Linked DNA regions of Oryzias latipes. The protein of the gene in region 1 binds, or shares a complex with, the protein of each later gene. Links are inferred from orthologs where the notes say so. Each region holds a gene or a part of one and is shown in the gene's direction. Other genes may lie near its edges.

Region 1 (3,063 bases):
CAGAGTGGCCAGTGCCTGCGTAGGTTTGAGCGCGCTCACAGCAAAGGCGTGACCTGCGTGAGTTTCTGTAAGGACAGCAGCCAGCTGCTGAGCGCCTCCTTCGACCAGACCATCAGGTGAGCGCTCGTCGCCGTCACTCCTTCTGGCCACGCCCTCGAATGACCACCTGCTGCTTGTTTTCCTGCAGGATCCACGGGTTGAAGTCTGGCAAAACTCTGAAGGAGTTTCGGGGTCACACGTCCTTCGTCAACGAGGCCACCTTCACGCCGGACGGCCATCACGTCATCAGCGCCTCGTCTGACGGCACGGTGAAGGTGAGAGGACGGCGGCGCTCCCCGCCGGCGCCTTTGGCGGCTCTGTCTCACATTTCTTCTCCTCCCGTCGGTGGCGTCAGCTGTGGAACGTGAAGACCACCGAGTGCAGCAGCACCTTCAAACCTCTGGGCACGTCCGCCGGCACCGACATCACGGTCAACAACGTCCTCCTGCTGCCCAAGAACCCGGAGCACTTCGTGGTTTGTAACCGCTCCAACACGGTGGTCATCATGAACATGCAGGGACAGGTGAGCGCCGCACGCCACGCCTTCCAGAGCCTTCGCTGACGCCCGGCTCACGCCTCCTCCTCCTCTCTGCGCAGATCGTGAGGAGCTTCAGCTCCGGAAAGAGGGAGGGCGGAGACTTCGTGTGCTGCACGCTGTCGCCGCGCGGCGAGTGGATCTACTGCGTGGGCGAAGACTTTGTGCTTTACTGCTTCAGCACGGTGACGGGCAAACTGGAGAGAACGCTCACGGTACCGATCCGCCTCAGAAAACGCACACAACCCGGGTCAGGGAAACATTCAGTCAGATGTTGATCCCAGAATATGAACAAACATGATGCTAAATTATACCCAAAGGTTTTAAAAAGAAATGATTGTGTTCCTCTTCCTCAGCTGTGTTTGTTTAGAGAAATAAAACCTCTTAAGCTGCAGCAGTTTGGTTTAATTCATCTGGATAACAAACCTGCGTCGGCACTAACTGTTGCAGCTCTCCGCTCACGCAAGAGCACCAAGACCCACAATGCATTGCTGTTTTATCCCTCAGTAGTCCTGGGATTTTTTGAGCTTCTCTTCTTTTTTTTTACTAGTTTGCAATAATAATAATTTACCCTCTAAAGAAGTTCTTGTGACTTTGCTTCATCAATCAATCATTTTGTGACTTTCCTTTTTTTAGGACAATTTAGGTTTTATAACGCCGATCAAACGTATAGAGATGAGAGAAATCTGTGCAAATCCCCCTCAGAATCTAAATCAAGGTCAAAACAACATACACAATAACAGATAAGGAACCGTTTTAGATGTCGCACACCGCTGCTCTGCTCCTCCAGGTGGAGTCAGCAGCTGAGCGGGGGCCGGAACTCAAACGCACAAAAAAGCAGACAAGACCAGAGGTCGAACAATCCGAACTATAATCTTTGTAAATCCTGTAATTCATCAAAACGCCTCAGTAGATTTATCACATTATTCTGACTCGCACGGAAAAACGGATAAACATTTCTCGTAGCTGTTGCAGAGTTTGGGGTGAAATAAGTGTTTGTCTTTGAGTTCTCTGGTCTCTATTGGCTCCAAACGACCTCAGCATCACAAACGAGGACGGTGGTTTTTTTTTTTTTTTTTTTTTGTGGCTTTAAAGTGAAAGTACGCATTTTCAAACTATTCAATTTGAAGGACTCGTGTGTCATAACTCTTATTATATATAAAAAAAAAATTTTAAACCATAAAATGTCAAAACTAAAAACCATTTTTGAAACCTTGAGGAAAAACCTGACCAATGCCGGGTCTGCGTCCTTCCCACATCCCTGAAAACCAACTCGCCGGTGCTTTGGTCACCTTCTAGGGTTCAAATCCCGACTTTTGAAGGGCGTTTCCACAGACGGAACAAGCTTCATCTTCGCCCTCAGGCTGCAGACTCAGCTGCTCTCTGTTCTCCTCCAGGTCCACGAAAAGGATGTGATCGGCATCGCCCACCACCCCCACCAGAACCTGATCGGCACGTACAGCGAGGACGGCCTGCTGAAGCTCTGGAAGCCTTGAAGCCTCGTCCACGGAGACGGCCGGACCCTCAGCAGCTTCTCTGGCCCCCAGCCTATCGTTCCTCTGTGTTTTCTGGACTTTCAGGATCACACCTGCAGGAAAGCACGAGTTCCCCGGCATCAGTCAGACCCCCCCCCGGTGTCCGTTTTGATTCTTTTATCCGTCAGACTCAGAAAATGTAAACGTCAGAGAAAAAGTGTAAGAAGAGGCTCGGATAGGAAGTGGTGCGTTCAAGACACATTTTTTTCACATTTCCACTCTTTTGTAAATACTTTTTAGTTGTTTTTTCAAGAATACCTGGTTAAACAGCCGACGCTCTGGTCTGTTTGTGCAGAAGCTGAAAGTCTCGCCAAAATAAGAGGCTGCTCAAACAGAACTTAAGATTTTTGATGATTCCACTTGAGCTTTAAGGGTCACAGCGGCGTGGTGGAGTTACAAATGTCTCCTGTAACATGTGTCCATTTCACCATTAAAGCTGTTTAACCAGAATGGTTGCTGTGGTGTTGAATTTAATCCTGAAGGACGGAAGTAAGTATTCTAATATTAACGTTTTTATTTATCTGCTTTGAAGGTTTTCTGGTCGTTTGTGGTTTTTCTGTTACAGGAGCTTCAGCGACGAAGCGCGCCGGCTGGGTTTCATGTTTAAATAAACTGCAGTTCAGGAGGAAGAGTGTCCAGTCTGACAGGAAGGCAAGGGGGCTGCTCGCACGACTTTCAAAATAAAAGCCTGACATAAGATCCTGTTCAAAGGAAGTCAGATCAAAACAGTTATAGCATTTATGGATGTGCTGTTAAAAGAAACAACCTACTTTTTAGATGTTAACCTTTAACATTTAAGTGTATATTTTATCTATTATATATATATATATATATATATATTTAGCAAATTGCATTTAATCTGCATGTTATCATTTTGATTTAAATTCATAATTTTGTTCTCCTTCAGTGGATTTTGTAGATTTATACGTTCTGGTCGATTTGACTCCAAATTTA
Region 2 (3,941 bases), on another chromosome or scaffold:
TCAGCTTTAAAAGTTCAAACTTTAATGAAAAATGCATTGTTTTTAATTTTTAAACATTTCCAAGTTTTAGACCTCTTTGACATGTAATTGAAATTATTTAGAAAAGCCCAACAATAAGTCAATAATAATAATAAATAATAACAATATATAAATAATAAGTCAATAATAATAATAAATAACAAATATAAATAATAAGTCAATAATAATAATAATTAATAACAATATATAAATAAGTCAATAATAATAATAATAATAATAATAATAATAATAATAATAATAATAATAATAATAATAATAATAATGAATCAATAAATAATAATAATAATAAATCAATAGTAAGTCAATAATAATATTGAATGATAAAAATAAATCAATAATAGGTAAATAATAATAAATGATAATAATAAATCAATAATAAGTCAACAAAAAGTCCAAAAGTCAACAACAGATTTTCCCCTTTAAAAAAACAAAGAAAAGAAATAGATTTACCTCCTGATTCATGTTAGTGATAAATTTGTGTGACACAGTTGGTTTAGTGTCGGGTTTCAAGCTAACAGTCTGGCCAGTCTCATCAAAATCTGTTTCCTCAAATTGTTTTGAACATAGCCAGACTGTATTACTAGTTGGTACCACAGTGATCCATCTGGGTTAGCTCTTTTTATTGCTAAGGCCCACTTTTTCCTTAAGTCTGAATCCATTGGAAACCTGCAATAAAATTTCAGTCACTGAGTCAGAAATGTATAAATCTCTATTACTATAATAGCCTAGTATAATGTATACAGGTTTAACACAATAAAGTTTACATTTATATCGACAGCAAATTATACGTACATCATGCCTACATGTTGATAATCGCCCTGCAGCATCATGCATGAAAACATGTGTATGATTAATGATGCCCCTGCAGCATTAAAAGAAAAAAATATATAATACTTACCTGTGAAATGTTATGCCTTCCTCCTTCGTGGACTCATTTCTCTGATTTTGGCAGTTGAAACCCGAAAAATGAACTGGTATTTTGCAAGAAATGTGTTCACATGCATGCACTACAGCAGTAATTTGACCTCACCAAGATGGCGATGCTCTCCCCCCTTGAGGAATCACGTGATGTCTCCTCTACCGATAGAACTAAATTTAGACAGGAAACTAGCAATGACGAGCTGCAACATCCGGTGACGTATTTTCCGTAGGTAAACAAGATGGCGTCCGGCAGTGGGGTGAGTTTCCAAGCAGAATTTCTCTGCCCCTGTTTGTTGTAATACAGTTTAATTCAATAAACAAGATTAAAATTCTTCACTTTATATTTGGTACCGTGGAGGCGTTTTGACTGTAACCGTTACAGACATCAGCTGCTGCCGTTAGAAGCGCGGCCTCGGACTAGCAGCGGCTAACTCGCTCTGACGCTTGGGTACTTTATTTGCAGAATTTTACGGCCCTTTTTAAAAAAAAAAAAAATTAGTACCAAAAACGTTTTGACTCAACCGCCGTTAGTTTTTATCTTTAAAGGACTAATTCAAAGGTGTAACGAATTCCGGTGTGGCAAAATAAAAGCTCTTGAAGTTTATTTCGTAAAGCCGACTGTGATGATAATAAATGAAACTGTAATAATAAGGATAATGTCCTTTTTGGTTTTTGCAAATATGAAACAATGTTTCTGTTGCTATATTATAAAATTTATAAACCCACCCCTGTTGAAAATGTTTACTTTGATAATATGAATGAAAGGGAAGAGCTGTCGATCAATACAGACCATGAATTTCTGCTTTTTTTTTTTTTTTTTGGATGCTGGTGTGCCGCGGGATCTTTTTCAGGGTTAAAGTGTGCCGTGGCTCAAAAAAGGTTGAAAAACACTGGTCTAGAGTGACTTAGGGTTTCCTGTCCTGTAAGCACAGCTCCACCAGCAGGCGTATCCCCCTGGAGCCTGACGGCACCATGCATTTGGAGAGCTGATCAGTTTCAGGCTGCAGCTGCAGCCAGGATCAGGCTGTTGAACGGAGATTTCTGAAAAATCTAATGTTCATTATGAAGGATCTCTTTGGACTCATCTGTTTATCCAACATGGATGCTTCCCGTCAGCTGGATGTTCGGCCTGAGCCCTCCCCTTATCTCGGGTCACGGAGTAGGAACAGCCCTTTTCCCAAACACCATTAAATACGAGCAGCAGCATGGCTCACGCATAAATCATGGGTCACACGTTCCCCATGATTTGTGCGTTCATCCATACCTCTCTGAGCTTTTGGAATCTCGGTTAAGCTCATATCTTTCCCTGGAGGGACAGAGATCCAGGAGGAACCTCTGGGAAGAGCCAGCTCCTCCTGTTTGAGCTTGGAAGGTGCACAAGGCGTCAGCTCTGACAGTCCAACAGGCATCTTCACCGTCTGCATTTAAACATTCTTCTGACGAAGCATGAGGCTTTCCTGCTTTTGTTCCTTCTCTGTTGTTGTGTCTCTGTGGTTCTGTTTTAGAGTTTTATCAATGAAGTTGAGTTGAGAAGCTGTTGCTCTTTTGTCAGGAGGAGTAAAAGCTCCTCGTCTTCATCAGCTGAATGTTTGTTGAGATGTGAAGATAATCGAGGCGCTCTGAGTCATCTTCTCGTGTCTTCCAGTCCAGCAAGAACGACTTCCGGCGGAAATGGGACAAGGACGAGTACGAGAATCTCGCTCAGAAGCGGCTGAACGAGGAGCGCGAGCGGGAGCTCAGGGATGGTGAGGGCAGCGCTCTCCGTTCTTTGGGGACCCTTGGGGGTCAATCGCTTATCACCCCTGACGCATGACCTGTTGGCTCTTTCAGGAAAACCTGTCCCTCCCGTCAAGCGGGAGCTCCTGCGGCACAGAGACTACAAAGTGGATCTGGAGTCCAAACTGGGGAAAACTATTGTCATCACCAAGACCACCCCTCAGGCGGAGATGGGCGGGTGAGTTCCTGACGGCTTTGGGTTTGGAAAAATGGAAAACTGAAACTCTTTGAACCAATAAGAAAAAGTTGTGGAGCAGAAACGGACAGGTCTGGGTTCTGGTTCCGACATATTTTTTTTTTCAGATATTACTGCAATGTTTGTGACTGTGTGGTCAAAGACTCCATCAACTTTCTGGATCACATCAACGGCAAGAAACGTAAGTACACCTGTGCTTTAGGGAGGGGCCAAGAGCGCAGATGTAACGTGGATCATTTTATACAGTCAGGTCCATAAATAATGGGACAGCGACACAATTCCAACATGTTTGACTCTATATGCCACCAAAATGGATTTGAAATAAAACGAACAAGATGTGCTTTAACTGCAGACTGTCAGCTTTAATTTGTGGGTATTTCCATCCAGATCAGGTGAACTGTGTAGGAATTACAACAGTTTGCATCTGTGCCTCCCACTTGTTAAGGAACCAAAAGTAATGGTCAGAACAATAATCATAAATCAGACATTTACTTTTTAATACTTGGTTGCAAATCCTTTGCAGTCAATTCCAGCATGAAGTCTGGAACTCACAGACATCTCCAGACGCTGGGTTTCATCCCTGGTGATGCTCTGCCAGGCCTCCAATGCATCGGTCTTCAGTTCCTGCTTGTTGTTGGGGCATTTTACCTTCAGTTTTGTCTTCAGCAAGTGAAACATTGCATAACATTCCACTTCTTTCCCTTAAGAAGGCCTTTAGTTGCGGTTGCAGTTTGCTTTGGGTCATGGTCCATCTGCACTGTGAAGCGCCGTCCACTGAAGCATTTGGCTGATCATGAGCCCAAAAGCCTTCAGAATTCATCCTACTGCTTTTGTCAGCGTTCACATCATCAATAGATAGAAGAGAACAGTTCCATTAGCAGGCATACATGCCCACGCCATGACAATACCACCACCATGCTTCACTGATGAGGTGGTATGCTTAGGATCATGAGCAGTTCCTTTCCTTCTCCATACTCTGGTAGAGGTTGATCTTAGTCTCATCTGTCCA

What was found.
Region 2: WD40 repeat-containing protein SMU1 (region 1) and zmat2 share a complex: the UniProt entries of both Homo sapiens proteins name them as parts of the spliceosome B complex. The link is inferred for Oryzias latipes from reciprocal best matches to the Homo sapiens genes SMU1 and ZMAT2.

What each region holds. Positions count from the first base shown.
Region 1 is NC_019868.2:28,095,253-28,098,315, forward strand, and holds the end of WD40 repeat-containing protein SMU1, read left to right. Parts: coding exon 1-116; intron 117-187; coding exon 188-314; intron 315-394; coding exon 395-562; intron 563-636; coding exon 637-789; intron 790-1,971; coding exon 1,972-2,070; 3' UTR 2,071-2,559; downstream 2,560-3,063. UniProt on the Homo sapiens protein: Involved in pre-mRNA splicing as a component of the spliceosome. Regulates alternative splicing of the HSPG2 pre-mRNA. Required for normal accumulation of IK.
Region 2 is NC_019872.2:3,288,045-3,291,985, reverse strand, and holds the start of zmat2 (zinc finger matrin-type protein 2), read left to right. Parts: upstream 1-1,128; 5' UTR 1,129-1,199; coding exon 1,200-1,217; intron 1,218-2,605; coding exon 2,606-2,705; intron 2,706-2,790; coding exon 2,791-2,914; intron 2,915-3,039; coding exon 3,040-3,113; intron 3,114-3,941. UniProt on the Homo sapiens protein: Involved in pre-mRNA splicing as a component of the spliceosome.